2 linked regions of the Canis lupus familiaris genome follow. The protein of the gene in region 1 interacts with the protein of each later gene in a biochemical or structural test. Links are inferred from orthologs where the notes say so. Each region holds a gene or a part of one and is shown on either strand. Other genes may lie near its edges.

The links.
Region 2: the proteins of STAT2 (region 1) and IFNAR1 form a complex in vitro, tested with the Homo sapiens proteins (2 studies listed by BioGRID). The link is inferred for Canis lupus familiaris from reciprocal best matches to the Homo sapiens genes STAT2 and IFNAR1.

What each region holds. Positions count from the first base shown.
Region 1 is NC_049231.1:997,258-1,008,434, forward strand, and holds part of STAT2 (signal transducer and activator of transcription 2), read right to left. Parts: intron 4,208-11,177; coding exon 4,049-4,207; intron 3,942-4,048; coding exon 3,849-3,941; intron 3,616-3,848; coding exon 3,556-3,615; intron 3,187-3,555; coding exon 3,169-3,186; intron 2,952-3,168; coding exon 2,858-2,951; intron 2,709-2,857; coding exon 2,661-2,708; intron 2,580-2,660; coding exon 2,496-2,579; intron 2,341-2,495; coding exon 2,242-2,340; intron 2,140-2,241; coding exon 2,004-2,139; intron 1,882-2,003; coding exon 1,829-1,881; intron 1,700-1,828; coding exon 1,605-1,699; intron 1,010-1,604; coding exon 873-1,009; intron 699-872; coding exon 516-698; intron 283-515; coding exon 225-282; intron 1-224. UniProt on the Homo sapiens protein: Signal transducer and activator of transcription that mediates signaling by type I interferons (IFN-alpha and IFN-beta).
Region 2 is NC_049252.1:28,540,417-28,551,593, reverse strand, and holds the start of IFNAR1 (interferon alpha/beta receptor 1), read right to left. Parts: upstream 10,608-11,177; 5' UTR 10,549-10,607; coding exon 10,467-10,548; intron 10,399-10,466; exon of another isoform or gene 10,309-10,398; coding exon of another isoform or gene 10,236-10,308; intron 9,882-10,235; exon of another isoform or gene 9,734-9,881; intron 5,217-9,733; coding exon 5,093-5,216; intron 3,586-5,092; coding exon 3,407-3,585; intron 1,661-3,406; coding exon 1,503-1,660; intron 1,390-1,502; coding exon 1,251-1,389; intron 343-1,250; coding exon 201-342; intron 1-200. UniProt on the Homo sapiens protein: Together with IFNAR2, forms the heterodimeric receptor for type I interferons (including interferons alpha, beta, epsilon, omega and kappa).

The sequences.
Region 1 (11,177 bases):
TCAGTGATTATGACTCTGATTAGCAGGGAAGCCCTGTGGAAACAACCTAAGGATAGCAGCAGAGCACTAGGGAACAAAGAGGCTAGCAGAACGAGGGAAAAAACCTAGAGGTTGGAGACTATGGGCCCGTAGGAAAGAAGGCCAGAGAGGCAAACTGAGCGGGTTTGGGTCGCCACATCAGCCAGCAAAGGCCAGGGAGGATGGGCAAGAAATGCATCTCTCACCTGTTAGAGACCACAATGAGCCTATGTTTCAGGTATTTCCTCCGTTCTTCGAGATTAACTGTGGGGGACATATGCAGGAGGACAGGGAGGTCAGTGGACTGGACACCTGGCCCAAGGACCCCTCGTGTAAACGGTCTTGATAATTGTATTTCCCTACTAACTAGCCATGTCCCAGGGACAAATCCTTTCGTTTCTCTGGCTACCAATTTTTCCATGTCTGGAAGAAAGGAGCTGGATCTGTAGATGCCTGAGTCCCTGCAATCTTCAGTGACATACATCAACGATCCTTACCTTTCTCCTGGTAGTAGCACCCAAAAGCCTCATCCCGGGGGATTCGGGGGTAGAGGAAGCACAGTGGGTTCTCAGGTATGTTCTCTTCGGTAAGCAGCTGGTAGTGGCGAATGATTTTGGTCAGTGGGAGAGACTGAAGCACTTCCTTGGTGAAGGGTTGCAGAGAGTTGATGAGCACCTTATCTGCAGAATGGATGTGGGAAGAGGCAGGCCTGAAACAGTCGGGTCTAGGAGTCCCCCACCCTGGCCATCTAAGCCCCAACCTGCTGAGGGATTCAAGACAGAACCAGGGAAGCCAAGGGCTGGCAGAGGGACATAAAGGACAGGCTGTGGGAACATCGGGGCGAAGCAGCTGACCATCATCCTGATGTTCCACCCAGGAGCAGGTGATGCCCCCTTCTGATGTTTCACTGAAGCGCAGGAGAAAGGTGCCAGAGATGGTCTTCTTCAGCAGCCTGCGTTCCTTGCTCCGGCTCACAAAGCCCATGATGCGTCTGAAACAGAAAGCTGCTGTGAGGCCCTCATGCCTCCCTGCTGTCCTGCTGTCCTGCTCTCCTTGTACAGGGAGACAGCGCCAGGGTTTGGCCCTTGCTCTTGGCCAAGTCACTTCCTCTTACTGACGGTATCCACCTTCTAGGGCTGGAAGAGGTTTGAGGATTCAGTGTGGTCACAGATGAAAAAGCACCTTGGAAAGGCAAATGAGCAGGTAGTGTGATGGGAAGAGCACAGGCCTGCAGTCAGATGAGGCCTGGGTTTGAGTCCCAAGCAGGCCCATTGAGTGAATTCTTTTTTTTTTTTTTTCATTGAGTGAATTCTTTTTTTTTTTTTTTTGAGTGAATTCTTTAACTTCTCTTTGACTCCACACGGTTGTAAGGATTACACGAGAGAGTTCATAAGGAGCATCCAGCAGGTTCTGGAGCACAACAGATGCTAGGACTATTATCATGAGCGAAAACGTCAGGCGCGTGACCTTGCACCAGCATTTGCTTGCTCTCTCCCTTTCTGCCACATGAGGGCGCACAGAGTCCACTCGAGCCCAGAAAGGCAGAAAGCTAGGGGTGGGGCGAGGGAGACTGACCAAGGCCTTACCCATCATTCCAGAGATCCTTCAAGTGGTCATGTACCAGCTCCAGAATTTTGTCTAACCACGTCCAGAATGGTAGCTTGCCAGGAGGGCTCTCTCGCTGCAGGAGGAATGAAAAGGCAGGAAGAGACATGATTAGTCGCCCCCAGTGAGCAGATGGCAGTAAGGAGGGCAAGGACTAGTGTTTGCACAGGGGCTAGACGTAGTCACACAGGATGCAGGGAGTTACCTTAGTGAAGTCGGCCCACGATAACAATGCGCCCTCAGTCCTAGAGTTCTGACCTGTGGACAGACAGACAGTTCAGGTAATCGATGCAGGCAAGGCCAGGGTCCTTGGAATAGAAAGGGTGGAGGGCTGGGGAGACTACGGCTGGGGAAAGGCTGGGAGAAAAGGAGGTTTGTACCAAAGAGCTTGTTCCTCAGCATGCTCAGCTGGTCTGGGTCAAGGCCTCGGCCAACATAGGAGGAGAACTGCCAGCTGAGAGCAGGGCCCAGCAAGCTCCAGGGTGCCATGGGAGGGCTGGAGAAGAACTGCTGATTCTGCAAGAGTGGGAAGAGGGCAGGATGGCTCAGAAGGAGCACCCTCAGGCCAAGCGTCCACACCCTTCCTTGCCACCCAGCACCATTAGCACCATCTCCTACCTGGGGGTTTGAGCTAAGCAGATTGAACCAAAGAACCGAGGCCCAGGCAATGGAAACTTGGTTCATATTGGAAATAATCACCACAGGGAGGGTGTCTGTCTGAAGAGAAAACAAGAGTCAGAGAGAGGGATGGGATGTTTCTAGCTTTGACAGAGGCAAAGGAGAACTTCCCACTGGAGAGGCTTCCTTTAACGCCTCCTGAATGCCTTCCGCCAGATCTGCTTCATCTCTCCCTGCCCTCCATTTCCACTCACCTTCAGCTCCTCCTTCAGACCCTGGTAGGTGTATTTGACTGTAATGCTGATAATGTGCAGTTCCTCCGTCACACCCAGCATGCCCTAGGACAGCCGAAGACACAGCGGTCAGCGGGCCCTGTGGCAAGCTCCTCCCATCCCCCCGCTGCTCTGGCCAGGCCTCACCTTATTGCAGCCCTTTCCTGGGCCACCTGAACGTTGTTCTACCAGAGTCTGTGAGTTGACAGGAAATAAAATAAATGCCAGAGTGAGGACTCCAGGGTCCCTGGAACCCCTATTTCGCCTCAAGACTTCCCAAGGCCTGGGAACTTCCCTCAGCCCGTTGCACCGGACCAGAACCTTAGGCTGCTAGCCCTTCTTACCAGGTAACCGAAGTCCCAAATTAAGCCCTGACTCTGCCCCTTCTCGGGGGTCAGGGTTTTCTGGTTTGAGGTTAGAATGTTGAACTTCCGGAAGCTATTCCAGGAGGAAGAAGATATATGGAGAAGAGGAGAAGAGTTATTCTAAATACTCAGCAGGAAAACAACAAAAATCCTACTTCATTCCAGACCTCCCCTCCTCCCTTTGTCCAACCCCCAACCAAGTCAACCTCCTTCTTGTCTGAGCCCCAATGTGGTTATTATGCAGGTTGTGCAGTGCACCCAAGTCGGCAGCATCCTTATCAGACACCTACCCTTGTGATTGAGGATTCCTGAAAAAAAAAAAAAAAAAAAAAAATTCACTGAGAACCAAAACAGTGCAGAAGTTAGGAGTTTAGTCTTTAGAATCAGACAGACCTGGATTCAAACCCAAATCTGTGCTCACGAGTCTTATGGCCTTGCACAAGAGACACAATCTCTCTGGGCTTGTCTCTCCATCTGAACTGTGCACTGCTAATACCTAACTCACAGGGTTCCTGGGACAAATGAGGACTGGACAAGCCGCATGTCACATAGTGCTCAACAAGAGCGAGGAGGCGGGGTAGGAACACAGCCCCAGGGCCCTCGGGTGAAGAGTGGGTCTCCTCTGCCCCAGCAGCCCATGTCCCTGCCACCCTGTGGCCCCACGTGCCCCAACTTACTTGTCAATGGAAACTTCTGCAGTCAGTGACTCGTTGCCTTCCTGGAGTCTCACCAGGAGCCTAAGTGGAAGAGGGGAAAGTGGTCACCTTCAATCTCCTGGAGAGATCAAATGTTGGGAAAAGATAAGGTAAGAGATTAGAAGAGGTAGATGGGAAAAAGAAAAAGAAAGAGACGAGGTAGGTGGATTAAAGAGAAAAGGGAGAAGACAAGAGTGGAAAGATCTAAAGCCAGAAAGCAAACAGTAGTATGAGGGCTGGAAAAAGGAAGCAGGAATGAGTCCTGAAATGCCAACCTTGTTCGGATAGTGAACTTGCTCCCAGTCTTGAGGATGAGGGGTCGGTGGGGAGTTTGGGGCATGCAGGGCTGGGTTTCTACCACGAAGGCTCTGGGGAGAGAGGTGGCCGAGAGAATACAGAGTTCAGTCTCTGCAGGAATAGCTCCTCTTGCTCTTTCCTTCTGCCCTCCCTGGAGGTCCCTCCCCGGCCTCTAGACCTGTGGAGCAGGCGCTGTAGCAACTCCAGGACCTGGGCCTTCCGCAGGTTGACCCCTGCGGTCAGAGGGTCATCCTGATAGCTAACCAGGTGACTTAATCCCTTCAGCTCCTCCAACAGCTGGCGCAGGTGGAACAACAGCTTGGCTCCAGCTGTGAACCTAGGTGATAGGATTCCAGAGACAGAGAGCAAACTGATGAGTTTCCTGGTCTTCCCCAGACAGGCTCCAGAAGCTTCCCTTTTACTATGTGGAGAGGCAGAAAGTGATTGGGATAAAAAAAGAACCCAGGAAGCTTAGGAAAGATTATGCAACATGATTCATAATCCAAGAAATAAAAATCAAAGGCACTTCCACATATAAAACTGGTAAAAGGGACGCCTGGGTAGCTCAGTGGTTAAGCATCAGCCTTTAGCCCAGGGCGTGATCCCAGAGTCCAAGGTCGAGTCCTGCATCGGGCTCCTTGCATGGAGCCTGCTTCTTCATCTGCCTATGTCTCTGCCTCTCTGTGTCTCTCATGAATAAATAAAATCAAATCTTAAAAAAAAAATGGTGAAAGATTTATTTCTGTAATGAAGCTACTTTTCATATGACCCTTCAGGGCAGCTTGGTGTGGCTCAGTGGTTTAGCACCACCTTCAGCCCAGGGTGTGATCCTGGGGTCCTGGAATCAAGTCCCACGTCGGGCTCCCTGCATGGAGCCTGCTTCTCCCTCTGCCTGGGTCTCTGCCTCTTTCTGTGTGTGTCTCATGAATAAATAAATAAAATCTTTAAAAAAAATCATATGACCCTTCATATGTACTATTATTCTAAGTGCTTACTGTATTTAATCCTTATAACAACCCTATGAGACAGCTATTATTATTATCCTCATTTTACAGATAATTAAACTCTAGAGAAAGGTTAAGTGACTTGCTTGAGGTCACAGAACTAGTATGGAGTAAGCTGTATGTGATCCGGGCATTCTGGCTGCACAGTCCATACTTTTTTAAGTAGGCTCCACACCCAGCATGGGGCTCAAACTCATGACCCCCAGATCAGGACTCACATGCCCTACTGAGTGAGCCAGCCATAAAATTTTTAATTGATTTTATTTTTTTATTTCTGGGACACCTGGGTGGCTCAGCAATTGGGCATCTGCCTTTGGCTCAGGGTGTGATCCTAAGGTCCCGGGATCGAGTCCCGCATATGGCTCCCTGCATGGAGCCTGCTTCTCCCTCTGCCTGTGTCTCTGCCTCTCTCTCTCTCTGTCTCTCATGAACAGATAAATAAAATATGTAAAAAAATCAACAAATAAAATTTTATTTCAATTGAATTAACATATAATGCTATAATACACATGCAAGCTCAGGCACTTGGGTGGTTCAGTGGTTGAGCATCTGCCTTTGGCTCAGGTCGTGATCCCAGGGTCCTGGGATCGAGTCCCACATTGGGCTCCCCATGGGGAGCCTGTTTTTCCTTCTGCCTATGTCTCTGCCTCTTTCTCCATGTCTCTCATGAATAAATTAAAAAAATCTTTGAATAAAAATGAGTTGCAAGCTCCACAAACTGAGCCAGTCAGGTGACCCAGGCTCAAATTTTTAAAAAAATTTTTATTTATTTATGATAGTCACAGAGAGAGAGAGAGAGAGAGGCAGAGACACAGGCAGAGGGAGAAGCAGGCTCCATGCACTGGGAGCCCGATGTGGGATTCGATCCCGGGTCTCCAGGATCGCACCCTGGGCCAAAGGCAGGCGCCAAACCGCTGCACCACCCAGGGATCCCTTTTTTTTTTTTTTTTAAGATTTTATTTATTTATTCATAGAGATGCAGAGAGAGAGAGAGGCAGAGACACAGGCAGAGGGAGAAGCAGGCTCCATGCAGAGACCCTGACGTGGGACTCTATCCAGGGTCTCCAGGATCACGCCCTGGGCTGCAGGCGGCGCTAAACCGCTGCGCCACTGGGGCTGCCCCCAGGCTCAAATTTTTAACATGGGAAAATATCTAAAAATATTAAATTTTTTAAAACCACAAGATAAAAAAATAAAATAAAAACTAAAAACCACAAGATAGTACATTTATGATATGACCTGCCCTCGTTTATTTTTTTTTTCAAAGATTTTATTTATTTATTCATGAGAGACAAAGAGAGAGAGGCAGAGACAGAGGGAGAAGCAGGCTCCATGCAGGAAGCCAGACATGGGACTCGATCCTGGGTATCCAGGATCATGCCTTGGACTGAAGGTGGTGCTAAACCGCTGAGCCACCAGGGCTGCCCTGCCCTCTTTTAAAATAAATGTATATTTGGGGGATCCCTGGGTGGCTCAGCGGTTTGGCGCCTGCCTTTGGCCCAGGGCGTGATCCTGGAGTCCCGGGAGAGAGTCCCACATCTGGCTCCCGGCATGGAGCCTGCTTCTCCCTCCTCCTGTGTCTCTGCCTCTCTCTCTCTCTCTGTCTATCATAAATAAATAAATAAATCTTTAAAAAAAATTAAAAAATAAAAAATAAATAAATGTATATTTGGGGCACCCAACTGGCTCAGTCACTGGAACATGTGACTCTTGATCTTGGGGTTGTAAATTCAAACCTCATGTTAGATGTAGAGATTACTTAAATATAAAACCTTTGGTAGGTGGGCGCCTGGGTGGCTCAGCCAGTTGAGCCTTTGGCTTGGGTCATGATTTCCTGGGATTGAGCCCTGCATCGGGCTCCCTGCTTAGCGGGGAGGCTGCTTCTCCCTCTCCCTTTGCTGTTCCCCCTGCTTGTGCTTGCTTTCTCTTTCTCCTTGTCAAAAAGATAAATCTTAAACAAATTTAAAACCTTTAAAATAGATGGATTGTATATTTATGTATATACATAGGGAAAATTTGCAAAAAATGTATTCAAAAGCCCTAACACTGAGTACCGCTGCATGATCAGGTTATGCAGATAGGCAGTTTTTACTTTCTTTTAAGTTGTCTGAATTTTTTTTTCCAATTGAGACACATTATATTTATAATAAAAAAAATCAATAAAGCTCTTTCTTTTTCTTTTTTTGAGATTTTATTTATTTGAGAGAGAGAGAGAGAGAAACATGAGCAGGGAGAGGGGCAGAGAGAAGCAGACTCTCCACTAGGCAGGGAGCCTGATGCAGGGCTTGATCCCAGGACCCTGGGATCATGACCCAAGCTGAAGGCAGACACAACTGACTGAGTCATTCAAGCGCCACCCCCCCCTCGCTTTTTAAGAATTTCTTTATTTAGGGTAGCCCCAGTGGTGCAGTGGTTTAGCGCTGCCTGCAGCCCAGGGCGTGATCCTGGAGACCCTGGATAGAGTCCCACGTCAGGGTCTCTGCATGGAGCCTGCTTCTCCCTCTGCCTGTGTCTCTGCCTCTCTCTCTCTGTCTCGATGAGTAAATAAATAAAATCTTTAAAAAAAGAAAAGAATTTCTTTATTTATTCATAAGAGACAGAGGGAGAGGCACAGACATAGGCAGAGAGAGAAGCAGGCTCCATGTAGGGAGCCCGATGTGGGATTAGATCCCAGGACCTTGGGATCATGCCCTGAGCCTAAGGCAGACGCTCAATCACTGAGCCACCCAGGAGCCCACCCCTTCCCCCTTTTTAAGAGATTTTATTTATTTATTCATGAGAGACACAGAGAGAGAGAGACAGAAACATAGGCAGAGGGAGAAGCAGGCTCGATGCAGGAGGCCTGACGTGGGACTCGATCCCAGAACTCTGGGATCACACCCTGAGCTAAAGGCAGATGCTCAACCACTGAGCCACCCAGGTGTCCCCCACCCCTGCACCTTTTTAAAATATGTTATCTATTTTATTTATTTGAGAGAGAAAGAGAGTGAGGGAGAGTGGAAGCACAGAGGAGCAGAAGGGGAGGGAGAGGGAGGGGGAAAGAATCTCAAGCAGACTCTGTGTTGAGGGGGAGCTCCACATGGGGCTCAATCCCACAACCCCAAGACTATGATCTGCCTGAACAAAGAGTTGGATGCTTAACCGACTGACTTAGGCTCTGGTCATGATCTCAGGGTCCTGGGATCAAGGCCCACATTGGGCTCCACACTCAGTGGGGAGTCTGCTTCTTGCCCTCTCCCTCTGCCCCTCCCCCTTACCCATACTGTCTCTTAAATAAATAAAATATTAAAAAATAAATAAATAAAATATTTAAAAACAAAACAAAGGATCAACATAACACCACCAAAAAGGAAAGCTATATACTTTAACCCAGGAATACCACTTCTAGGAATTTATATTACAGAAATAATTAGGGATGTAAATAAAGATGTAGTTATGAGGATTTTTACTCCAACAGTATAAAATAGCAAGAAATCCGGGTGCTCAGCTGGCTTAGTGGGAAGAGCACATAACTCTTGATCTCAGGGTTGTGAGTTTGAGCCCCCCATTGGGTGCAGAGATGGTTTAAGTAAGTTAAATAAACTTAAAAAAAGAATCCTTTCCCATCTTGCAAGATGGTGGGTGAAAAGATAAGAAGCCGATACTAAGGAGAAGAAACCTGGAGCCAAGAAGGCTGATGCTTGTGGCAAGATTAAAAATGGTGACCTCAAGGTTAAAATGCCAAAGAAGGGGACGCCCCATTGCAGCCAAAAGTGTCCTAGTCAGAGGAAACTGGCACATATTTCCCATTGGCTATGTATTCCAGAAAAGCCATGTACAACAGGAAGCATTCAGTAGCTAAATCCAGAGTTGAAAAGAAAAAGGAGAAGGTTCTTGCTACGGTCACAAAACCAGTTGGTGGTAACAAGAATGGCGGTACCTGAATGATTAAACTTCACAAAATGCCTAGGTATTATCCTGTCGCTGTGCCTCAAAAGCTCTTGAGCCAGAGCAAAAAAAACCCCATTCAGTCAGCATGGAGAATTCTGAAAGCTAGCATCACTCCTGGCACCATTATTTTTAAAAAGATTTTATTTATTTATTTGAGAGAGAGAGAAAAAAAAAAGAGAGAACATGAGCTGGGGGAGGGGCAGAGAGAGTGAGGAAGAAGGAGACACAGACTCTCCATTGAGCAGGGAACCCCATGGAGGGTTTGATCCCGGGGCCCAGAGATGATGATCTGAACTGAAGGCAGATGCTTAACCCACTGAGCCACCAAGGTCCCCTCCTGGCACCATTCTGATCATCCTCACTGGGCTCCACAGAGGCAAGAAGGTGGTTTTCCTGAAGCATTTGAGCAGTGGGGGTTGCTACCTGTGACTGGACCTCGGGCCCTCAATCGAATTCCTCTACATAGAACACACCAGAAATTTGTTATTGCCACCTCCACCAAAATTGGTATCAGCAGTGTGAAAATTCCCAAACATTTCACTGATGCTTACTTCCAAAAGAAGCTGCATAAACCCAGATACCAGGAAGGAGAGATCTTCGACAGCAAGAAAGGAAATGTGAGACTACAGCACAGCACTAGGTTGATCAGCATGCTGTGGATTCGAAAATTCTGTCAAAAATCAAACCTGTTCCTCACCTTTAGGGCTACCTCCACTCTGTGTTTTCTTCCCACAAATGGAGTTTGCCCTCACAAATCAGTGTTCTACATTTCTTACAAAGAACCTAATACTGACCCATTTCCACAAAAACAACAACTTGGGGGGAAAAAACCAAAATATTTGTTGAATATATACAATGGAATATTATTCATAATAAAAAATAAAGTCTTGGGACACCTGGGTGGCTCAGTGGTTAAGCGTCTGCCTTCAGCTTAGGGCATGATCCTGGAGTCCAGAGATCGAGTCCTGCATCGGGCTCCCTGCATGGAGCCTGCTTCTCCCTCTGCCTGTGTCTCTGCCTCTCTCTCTCTCTGTCTGTCTCTCATGAATAAATAAATAAAATCTCTAAAAAAAGGTAAAAAAAAAAAAAAAAAGAATAAAGTCTTGCCATTTGCAATGATGTGAATAGAGCTAAGAAAGAATTATGCTAAGTGAAATAAGTCAGAGAAAGACAAATACCGTAAGATTTCACTCATACGTGGAATTTAACAAAACAGGTAATAATTATTTATTTTATTTTTATTTTTTTAAAATTTTTATTTATTTATGATAGTCACAGAGAGAGAGAGAGAGGCGCAGAGACACAGGCAGAGGGAGAAGCAGGCTCCATGCACCAGGAGCCCGACGTGGGATTCGATCCTGGGTCTCCAGGATCGCGCCCTGGGCCGAAGGCAGGCGCCAAACCGCTGCGCCACCCAGGGATCCCCGGTAATAATTATTTAAATTAAAAGACAACTCAAATGTCCAAAATAGGAGTTCATTAATTAAATTATGTTACCTCTATATAGGGAACTATAAGGCAATCATCAAAAATAACATGGGTGGGTGCCTGGGTGGCTCAGTCAGTTAAGTGTATGCCTTTGGCTTGGGTCATGGTCCTGGGGTCCTAGGATCGAGTCCAGCATCTGGCTCTCTGCTCAGTGGGGAGTCTGCTTCTCTTTCTCCCTCTGTCCCTCCCTACTGTTCGTGCTGTCTCTCTCTCAAATAAATAAAATCTTAAAAAAAAAAATAATAGTAATAACATGGGCATGAGGTGCCTAGGTAGCTCAGTCAGTTAAGCGTCTGACCCTTGCTCTCAGCTCAGGTATTGATCTCAGGGTTGTAAGTTCAGGCCTCCTGTTGGGTTCTATGCTGGCAAGGAGTCTACTTAAAGAAACAAAACTAAAAACATGGGTAGGGGTGCCTGGCTAGCTCATTTGGTACAGCATGCAACTCAATTCTTGGGGTGGTAAGCTCGAGCCCCCAGCTGGGTGTAGAGTACTTAATAAATAAAAATAAATTAAAAAAGAAACATCAGCCTGTCTCATTTAAAAAAATAAATAACATGGGTAAGTACCACAATATACAGCTAAGTTAAAAAACAAAAACCACAGTTCTCAAAATAGTTCTTAATTTTTGTATATTATAGTAGCTACACATGGACAGTAAGATAAGAGGTAATTGTCTTTTTTTTTTTTTTTACATTATAGTGATTACAATTAAAAAAAAAAAAAAAAGGTAGAGGGGTGCCTGGGTGGCTCAGCTGGTTAAGCGGTGGCTAGCTCTTGATTTCAGCCCAGGTCATGATCTCAGGGTTCTGGGATTGAGGAGTCTGCTTAAGAATTCTCTCTCTCCCTCTTCCTCCCTCCCTCTCCCCACACCTCACGTTCTCTCT
Region 2 (11,177 bases), on another chromosome or scaffold:
GAGGCCCAAAGAGACTAAGGGATCAGCTCAGTGTCACTGGTTAGTTAACCGCAGAGTTGGGCCCAAGAGAAAACACCCCGTTTCCAATATGGTATAATCTCCTGAAGCAGTCACCTGTGCAGAGAGCTGTAGCGGGCCGAAGCCCAGTGCAAGGAACCCTAAGAAATTGGGCAAAGGGACACTCATGGATGAGAACTTACTAGAGCCACTGAGCTTGGAAAGTAACATTTGGACGTGCGTGACCCCATTTCACACTTCCATAGGGGTAATCCCATCTAAGAACAAAGATGTTGTTTTTAGAATCAAGCCGGATGTTTTCTGGTGGAGGCAGTTTATTTGCAACTAGAAGACAGAGAATACAGAGAAAAGCATACATTTTTACTTGAGTGAGAATACATGGTAAGGGTTCTTTTTTTTTCTTAAAAATTTATTTATTTGAGCACGAGAGAGATACATGGGAAGAATTCTTAACAGCATGGGCAAGAAAATAAAAGGCTTACACATGAGTTACGGTGTGGGTTTACACTATGGGATAGTATCACCCACTTAAAAAGAATGGGATAGGGGTGCCTGGGTGGCTCTGTCGGTTAAGTGTCTGCCTTCAGGTCAGGTCATGATCCCAGGGTAATGGGGTCAAGCCCCGCGTTGGGCTCCCTCCTTAGTGGGGAGTCTGCTTCTCCCTCTCCCTCTGCTGCTTCCTGTCCCCATCTCTGGCTTGTGCTCTTTCTCTCTTAACTAAATAAATAAAATCTTAAAATTAAAAAAAAAAGAACATGATAGATCGTATGTGCTGACATATGAAGAGATCCTCAATGTAATAAGTTAAATAAGCAAGTTGTAAGATATATCTAGCAAGATCCCATTTTTTTATTTTTAAAGATTTATTTATGAGAGACACTTAGAGAGAGGCAGAGACACAGGCAGAGGCAGAAGCAGGCTCCCTGAGGGGAGCCCGATGTGGGACTCGATCCCAGGACTCTGAGATCATGACCTGAGCAGAAATGCTTAACTGACTGAGCCACCCAGGCGCCCCTAGGCAGAACTTTCATTACTGTTCACTTGAGACAAAAATCCCAAATACGGTGATTTTTTTTTTTTTTGCTTATCTAAGTGCTATTGTAATGTTTTTGTTTCAATATCTATTAAAACCATCCTATAAACGTCAGCAACAAAGGGCAAAACCGCCAACATCAAGAGACTGCCCACCTGTATATATAGTTATGGAATCTACAGCAGAACTTCCTCCTTACCTGGGGTCTTTATACAGTACACAGGACTATAGATACCGTTTTTTCTCGGCAAAAGTCTTGCTTTAACTTTTAAACAGTAAGTGGTCTCTGGTGAGAGATTATAAATTTTATCTCTGGAGTAAACAGTTTCAGTCCTTCTCTAGAATAAAACAAATAGAATACTGCTCTTCAAAAAAAAGAAAAAGGTCAAAATGGAGAACAAATTCTTGTCTTTTTTCTCTCCCATTAAACAGAGGTACAAAGAATGCTTACTTCTCCACTTGAAGAGTTTTTCCAGATATCTAAGCTGTAGGTAAAGCTGGAGCTATCCAGAGCCCACATGACGCTGTCTCTCGCTCCAGGCAGGGAGATGTTTATTATGATTGTCTTATCTTCGGCTTCTAAATGTACTTTTGGGGGACCAATCTGAGCTGTAAAGAAATGAACACATTTATTTGATCACTTCATTAATAGAGGGTGGAAACATTCAGGGATCCGCTCCAGGGTACGCACTCTCAAAGTTGATCATTCAATGTGTTGACAGAACGGATGCAGGATTTTAAGGAAAAGGGATGCTAAAAGTGACTCCAAAGCTCTTGGCGCTATCAATGAAACAGGTGCCATCTGTAGTGGGGATGGAAAATTAGCTGCAAGAGGAGCAGGTTTGGAGTGGGAAATCAAGAGCTTTGTTTGACCTGATGACTCAGACGCCCAAGCAGAGATGGTGACTAGAGAGCTGGTGATACAAGTGTCACGGTTAAGGGAAAGGAGTGGGGCTGGAGATGTAAGTTTGAGCTTTTCTCAAGGGCACACAGATTGGAAGGACCGAGGGTAGAAAAAGAAGAAGTAGGACAATCCAGCCCTGCGGTAATCTGGCACCGAAAGGCCTGCAAGGCCTGGAGAAAGGGGCAAAGGAGGGAAGGATGAGCAGGAAAGGAGCTGACAGGGATCAGGGCCCTGGAGACCCAGAAACGGATGGGCTTCCAGTGATCACTGTGGCCCTACACAGGTTCTGAGCCAGAGGAGGGCTGGGAAGTCTCTCGGCATTGAGGAGGGCACCAGAGTCCTTGACAGGAGTGGTTTATTTTCCTTTTTTCATTTTTTTTCTTAAGATTTTAAAAAATATTTATTTATTCATGAGAGAGACAGAGAGAGGCAGAGACACAGGCAGAGGGAGAAGCAGGCTCCATGCGGGGAGACCAATAAGGGACTTGATCCCAGGACCCTGGGATCACGACCTGGGCCAAAGTCAGACGCTCAACCGCTGAGCCACCCAGGTGCCCCAACAGGAGTGGCTTCTGTATAGTGACAGGAAAGGAGGTCACATGCACAGGGCTGCAGAGGGAGTGGCAGGCCAAGAAGTGCCGAGAGGGACAGAGATCATCCTTCTCAGGGGTTGTGATAGAGGGCTGGGATTCCCAACTGTTTAACTCTCAGGACCCCTTCAAACTCAGAGAAACTGAGGGTCTGAAAGAGCTTTTGTTGGGGATCCCTGGGTGGCTCAGCGGTTTGGCGCTTGCCTTTGGCCCAGGGTGTGATCCTGGAGTCCCAGGATCGAATCCTACATCAGGCTTCCTGCATGGCGCCTGCTTCTCCTCTGCCTGTGTCTTGGCTCCTCTCTCTCTGTGTCTCTCATGAATAAATAAATAAAATCTTAAAAAAAAATGAAAGAGCTTTTGTTGATATGGATTATGTCTTTGAATATTTAGCACAGAAAATGTGAAAACTGCTAACATTTTAAAATATTAATTCGTTAACAGGTAATAATGATAAGCCCACTGTGCCGTAACAAGTATTTGTTATAAAAAATAACTCTATTTTCCCAAAACAAACATAGTGAGAATAGTGGTGCTGTGTCAAATCTAGTCCCATTACTGTCTTAACAAAGACGACAGATGTTATCTCACACCCACCTCTGGAAGTCACCCCACCAATCTCCCTATGATCCATCAGCCTCTGGAAAACTCCAGAATATTTTTTATATTCTTTTAAAAAACTCTATACTCATGGAAAAGGGGCAGAGAAGTCTTGGAATTATTATGAAAACAGTTTGGCTTTTTTTTTTTTTTTTAAGTGGGAGATTTCACATCACGCACATGAATGGGCTTGGGAAGTGAGCCCTTATGGTAACAGTAAACGAGGAATATTCTATAATTCAGCTGGCAACTTCCTCTTACCTTTTTCAAATAGGGTGAATGAGTCAATATTATGCCACGGAGAAGTGTTGTTTCCTTCCTCTGCTCTTATACGCAATTTAACTTTGTCGTAAACATTGAGCTTGAGTGAAGAAAAGTCGCACGTGGTGTTGGCAACAGACTGACACCCAGGCAATTTTAACCAAGTATCATTTCCAAGTCTTTAAGATAAAAAAGCAGATGAACAAATAAGCAAATGTATAAAAATACAAAAGACTGTCAGACACGGTTTCTGTTTACTAAAAACTGAAGCTATTATAAAACTAGGCTAAGTAGTTATTCTATGAGTTAATGTCCTGTTAACATTTGAGTTGCCATGTGGCACTCTTGTTCAGCACAGACATACCAAGCTTTTATTTATAACATGGAATAACTCTGATCATTTTTTTAAAAGATTTTATTTATTTATTCATGAGAGACACACAGGGAGAGAGGCAGAGACACAGGCAGAGGGAGAAGCAGGCTCCTTGCGGGGAGTGCGATGCAGGACTTGATCCCAGGACCTGGCATCACGCCCTGAGCCAAAGGCAGATGCTCAACCACTGAGCCACCCAGGTGCCCCAAGAGGGTTACTTTATTTTTTTATTTTTTTTAAATTTTTATTTATTTATGATAGTCACAGAGAGAGAGAGAGAGGCAGAGACATAGGCAGAGGGAGAAGCAGGCTCCACGCAGGGAGCCTGATGTAGGACTCAATCCCAGGTCTCCAGGATCATACCTTGGGCTGAAAGCAGGCGATAAACCGCTGAGCCACCCGGGCTGCCCTCAAAGTTCAATTTAAAGAAAATCTCTAGAGATAAAAATTCTTAAGTGGCTAATTAAGAGAAAAAACACGTATGTATGTATACAGGTGTATACACATGTGTACACACGTACATACACACACAAATGGCTAAAGCTGCGAGATTATTAACAATCGACTAGAAAACAGCAGTGCCAGGGTTGTGGTTGAAGTGGGGAGATCCTTGTTCTAGAGGTCCTACACCCTGTTTTTTCACTGCCCAATTACTGGCCGCTGTTTCTTGGACAGAGATCATGGTTAGCACACAGGGCCCTGACACCCAAAGCAAAGCACTGTACTTGCTGAGCTGTGTTCTTCTGTAATCCCTTCTTCTGCAACTCCCTGCTTGCCCAGCCTCTTGGCAGCTACAAAGTAGAAAGTGCTAGGGAGAAGGCATAAACTCTAGAAAAAGAGTCTGTGGAAAAAGAGGATCCAATATGCTCATGTTAATAAATTTTATCTAAAATTAAAATGTTGTATATGATGGGGAGAATTGAAAAATCCTGACCACCGGAGAACTGGGGGGCTATTTCAAGACCACGGATAGACCTTTTGGGGTCCTCTTCCATATCCTCAAGACATGTTCTAGTTCGGACCCTAATATATACTCAAAGAAGGTGGAGCATCTAGAAGAGAGAAGGTAGGGCTGTGGTCTACAGAAGCTGTCTGCCATCCTCATCCCCCAAATCTCTTTTGCTACAACACCCAAAGGTCAAGTGGATGAAGTCTCTATTTGTAGAAATGTAAGTTATAAATATTACATAGACATAAAGTTTCTGTAAAAGATAGAAAAACCAATTGTTTCCCAAATCTGAGAAATAAACGATGGTATGGTAATTTTTTAAAAATTTCAGGTGATTCTTGCAAATCAATCAATAGTCACATACGTTTGATAATATGCTGAAAAGGTCACATTCCTGATAGACGGGTTGCTCCTGTTCCACCTTAGGATAAAGGTATCATCAACGATGTAGACCTCTACATTTTGAGGAGATTTTAGAGTTGTTCCTCCTGGAAATAAAGAAACAAGACAGAAGACAATCACATGTACACTGTAAATATTCTTAAAAATGTTGTTCTTCCTTTCACATCATTGATTAAAGAATGAATACATTCATATATAATAAAGTACATGCAAAAATCTAAATAAAAAAAAAATACCCTAATGATTGCTCTCAGCACAGGGAGGCTGCTAATTATTTATGTAATCTTTGCTTTTGAGAGAGCTGGAAAAAGGCTGAGGTTTTTTTTTTTTTTTTAAATCTATAAAAAGTAAGCCTTCTATGTCCTAAGTATCTCAGTAAAGCTGGAAAAAATAAGGAAAGATAAATCAGCCTTATCTTTTAATTAAAAGTCTCTTTACCCAAGACATACAAAACGCTAATTCGAAGGAATACATGCACCCCTATGTTCATAGCAGCATTATTTACAACAGCCAAGTTATGGAAGCACCCCAAGTGTCCATCAACTGATGAAGGTTCAGCCATAGAAAAGAATTAAATCTGCCATTTGCGATGACATGGATGGAATTAGAGAGTATTATGCTAAGTGAAGTAAGTCTGTCAGAGAAAGACAAATACCATATGATCTCACTTATATGTGTAATTTAAGAAACAAAACAAATGAGCAAAGGTTAAAAAAAAAAAAAAAAAGAAAGGCAAACCACGAAATGGACTCAACTCTAGAGAACAAATTGACAGTCACCAGAGGGGAGGGGGCGGAAGGGAGGCGGGAAATGGGTGAAGGGGATTAAAGGCCATACTCATTGTGATGAAAAATAAAACACCTTCCACCTGCAGATAGATTACAACTCATCTGCAAGCTCAGATGACAGCTGGCATTTTTTAGCAATTAAAGTTAAAAACGAAAAAAGGAAGAAATTGTCTCTGCATAAAAATTTTCTTTGGTCTTAAAAGTGATGTAAAAGATACAAGGTTTCATGGTTTAGTGGCCTCAGTTTTGTTTCACATCTTATTATTCATGCTTTATGTATTCTGTTAAAGAACGGAACAGGTGAGATTTCAAAGTCAACAGCCATACACAGAAACAAATATTCACATGACAAAATCGAGAGAGAGAGATGAATGTTTCTTATGTCAGCCAAGCACTATAGGAACTCATAAAGGTGTTCATATTAAGCCCGAACCCTTCTGATTACTTTTAAGGACTTCCAGTCTCCAGTCCAGAGATCTATTATTTCTTATGCTTCGAGTACGAATCTTCCCAGAGTTTGACGTCCTCTCTTATTTTTCCCTTTTGGCCTCTTCCACCTGTGCTTTTCTTCCTCTCTGACTGACCAAATATTACCCAGATCCAGCTCACGTTGGACCCCTTACAGAAAACCATCATCAAGGACTTCAGCTCATGCTAACTTTGCTCTTTCCTTACATGCTGTAGCACACATCTATACCCCTCAATTTCACACTAAAGCACAGTACACGACACAGTACCTGACATCTACTAGGATCTCAAAACTTGCTGAATGAAGATGTTTCAAGAGAAAACCAGCAGTTTCTTTGCATTAAACACAATCTCCAATCAGATTACAAACTCCTTGAGGACAGAGTCTATACAGCTGCATACTTAATCTGCATTTTTCAGAGTTCTCAGCACAGTGCTGGGGTTAGAGGAGTTTCTTCATCACAAAAGGTTGATCTTTCACTATGACAAGCTACAATTTGTTTTTTAAGATTTTATCTATTTATTCATGACAGACACAGAGAGATGGAGACATAGGCAGAAGGTGAAGCAGGCTCCCTGCAGGGAGCCTGATGTGAAACTTGATCCCAGGACCCTGGGATCATACCCTGAGCTCAAGGCAGATGCTTAACCACTGAGCCATCCAGGTGCCCCAATAATCTAAACTTTTTAAAAGGCTGGCTTTTACATTTATTTATCTCTTGTTCCTACAATACATCCTTTATTTTTGTCTCAGGGCAAGCATGTTCCCTCCTTGTAGACTTTCAACCATAGGCGTCCTTATGTAGAACTTTTTTTTTTTTTTTTTAGATTTTATTCATTTATTCATGAGAGACACAGAGAAAGAGAGAGAGAGAGAGAGAGAGAGAGAGAGAGACAGGCAGAGGGAAAAGCAGGCTCCATGCAAGGAGCCCGACATGGGACTTGATCCCGGGTCTCCAGGATCACACCATGGGCCAAAGGCAGGCACCAAACCACTGAGCCACTCAGAGGTCCCTAGAAATTTCTTTATTGGTACTGCTCACTCTATTTTCCAGCTAGAGATGTTATGGTATGGAGTCCAAAGGGGGAGGAGCTGAGATAACATTTTCTGAAAACTTTATTTTTATCTTTTATTTATTATTTTTTTTGAAAACTTTATTTTTAATTTGGGGAGCTCCTCAGTGAGTCTCCCCTCCTTCAATTTTCTTCTTTACACTTACTTGCTTGGAGACTTTCCCTTATTCCACTTCTCTAAACTTAATTCCCATTCCATTTGTTGTGATTTTATAGTTTCAATGCAGCTACGGGTCTATAAACCCATAGCTGGGTTTATAGGAATCAACCAAAGGTGTGATGGCATTTGTCATCTCTGGTCTGGACTAGTCTAATTCCAGTAATTCTGGGCCTTGAGACAGGGAGAGGAAATCTGATGGTGGTAGAACCAGGAATTGCCTCTGGGATGCCGTCCTTCAGCTAAAGAAAGGAGACTGCAATTTGGGGCATCTTGGCATTTGGGAGACCAACAGATAACTGATAAATGACAAAGAAATAGTTATTAAACAGTGTTTTCGATTTCACAGATTTTGTTCTGTTCATATTACCAATATCTGTTTGAAAACAGTCTATTTCACTCTGTAGTGTCTAAGATCTATAAATGGGCACTTGATCCAATACTCCCACTTACACAACTGGTTGCTTCTAACCTTTCACATTCCTATGGATGATCAGAAACAATTTACTGTCTCTCTCTCTTTTTTTTTGTAAAGATTTTATTTATTGATGAGACACAGAGAGGCAAAGACATAGGCAGAGGGAAAAAAGCAGGCTCCCTGCAGGGAACCTGATGCCAGACTCGATTGTGGGGACCAGGATCATGACCTGAGCCAAAGGCAGACGCTCAACCGCTGAGTCACCCAGGCGTCCCGATTTACAGTCTTTTAAAGTCTGACATAAATCCAGACACATCCATCCAAATAAAAATTTCCTCCCGTATTTTGTTAATTTTCTTAGGCCAGGGTCCTAGAATTGCATTCACTAGGTTGAAAAGAATGAATATTTTTATGACTTTGAAAGGAAGCAACATTAGGATCTCCAGTTCTGGTCAACATTTCATTTGGTTTTGAACATTTTATTACTCCTTTGAGGAATAAAAACACATTAGTTAATTGAATGATAATGAGGAACTTAATAGTATTGATGGATAATTGAGAATTTAAATAGTTTAACCTTTAGGAAAACAGACAAGTCTTAAGCCCAGGGCACTGCTGCCAGATTCCCAGGGTTTAATTTCCGGTTTGGTCACTGGCTAGCTGTATGGCCCTAAGCAAGCTATTCAGTGTCTCCGTTCACCTGTAAAACGAGGATAACAGTGTGTAGCTTTTTACAGAAAACTAAATGAGTTTATACCTTTAAAGCATCTAGATAATTGCTTGGCACACAGTTAAGCTGTGTATAACTCTAATATAATGCTAGCTGTATATAAAGTTTATTTTAGCAGCCCTCCCCTAATTTAGATTAAAATAAGGATCTTAATGTACATCCTCCAGAAATGCTACTTTCACATGAGAATTCTCGGGGAAATTCTTTTTATTTTTTTGATTTTATGTATTTATTCATGAGACACACACACACAGAGAGGCAGAGACATAGGCAGAGGGAGAAGCAGGCTCCTTGCAGGAGCCCGATGTGGGTCTCGATCCCGGGACTCCCAGATCACGCTCTGAGCCAAAGGCGGATGCTCAACCGCTGAGCCACCCAGGTGTCCCAAAATTCGTTTTATATTACAGCACAATGAGCCGAATACAAAAATTTGAAGAACAAAAGACTTCAAAGAAATTACCATGGGTTATACCAGGACCACTGTACCCATCTACTATATATACTATATTTATTGAAGAGTTTGAGCAGTAGGATACTCTTGTACCACATCAGGGTTCGCTTTTCTAAGCAAACAGGGATTTTGAACATATTAGGTGGCCTCACTGACCCCTTGGATTCCTGCCCTGCGGTGGTGCTAGGCTTTCTTTCTTTCTTTCTTTCTTTCTTTTTTAAAGATTTTTTATTATTTATTTATTCAAGACAGACATAGAGAGAGAGAGGCAGAGACACAGGCAGAGGGAGAAGCAAGCTCCATGCACCGGGAGCCCGACGTGGGACTCGATCCCGGGTCTCCAGGATCGCGCCCTGGGCCAAAGGCAGGCGCTAAACCGCTGAGCCCCCCAGGGATCCCCTAGGCCCTTTTTCTCACTGGGTAACCCCTCCTCACTACACAGTCAACCTTTTAATAGTTGCCATCCCCACCCCCCAGCGGCTCCCTAGTTAAGTATTAATAAGGGCGGCAAACTGGCCTGATGGTCCCAGACTGTGTTTCTTGGCCGCGCATTTTCCTTTGTTACTTTGTATTAGACTCCACGAAGCCTTGAAGGCAGAGAAATTCCCGCAATCCCGGCCTCTCTCACGTGGGACTGAGTAACTGTCACATTGAGACAACGTTTCAGGCACAGCAACACTGTTTCGCGGCTAAAGCCTCGTTTATTATTTCAGGGTCCAGCCGAGCTCCCGGATTCCTGGGAGAGAAGCAAAGTGGACAGGACGGCCGGGGCTCGCCCGGCGCGGCGAGGGTGGAAGCGGGGTGGGGGGGGGGCGTCCGCCGCCGGGGACCGGTGCGCAGGCCCGCAAGCCAGCGGCGTGCAAGGATGCTCGAACACCATTACCGCCCGGCTTTCGGGCCGAGGTCTCCGGAAGGACCCCGGGAGGCCTCCGCGCGGTCTGCGCCAGTCCCTTCCCCGGACCCCACCGCCCAGCCCCTCGCCCCGCCCCGGGCCTGCGCCGAGGCCCCGCGTCTCTGACCTGCGGCTGCGGGCAGCATCCACGGCGCCCCCGCCACCAGCACCACGGTCGTCGCGCCCAGGAGGGTGAGCATCGTCCGGGGCCGCCCTGGCCGAGCGGGTCACATCCTCCGGCACCTCGCGCCGAATCCGGCGACGCCGGGCAGCTCACCCTCCGCAAAGGCCGCCCCGCCCCTTCCTTTCTCCCCTCCCCTCTCCCCCTCCCGCGCTCGCCCCGCCCACCGCCTCTCACCCCGCCTGCGGGCAGCACCCGGGGCGTCGCGCCCAGGAGGGGGAGCATCGTCCGGGGCCGCCGCTGGCCGAGCGAGCCCCATCCTCGGTCCCGTCCCGCGGAACCGGGCGGCGCGAGCTCATCCTCGCGCAAAGGCCGCCCCTCGCCCGCGGCCGCGTCTCCCACCCTTCCTTCCTCCCTCCCTCCCCGCCCCTCCGCGCTCACCCCGCCCTACGAGTCCTCCGCGGGGAGGTGGGGGGAGGCGGCGGACCGCGCGTGCGCGGCGGGGACCGGGTGGCGCCTCGCCCCGTCCTTACCGCCAGTCGCCGCCCACGGCCGCCCGCCCCCTTCCAGCAAGGCCACGCCCAGCGGAACGCCTTGACCCGGCGGGAGCCGGGCGCGCGCTGCCCGGCCTCGCTCCCCCGCGCGGTCGCGGACACGGAGGGGCGGCGGTGAGGAAGCCGCGAGCCGCCAGGCGGATTCCTGGGTGCAGAGCGCCGTGAGCAACGGCCAGAGCGGCCGGGGCCCTGGCTGCCGGGGCGACCTGCCCGAGGTGCGCACGGGACCGGTGGAGAGTCTCGACGGTCTCCAGAGCTCAAGCAGTTAGGGTCCCTTGCCCGTGTCAGTAAACAGTTGGGGTCCACCCTCCAGATCGTTCTTTAAATGCCCGAATCATAGATTATGGATGGTATTGAAATACGCAAAAAGAAAGGATGAGATGAAACAAGCAAT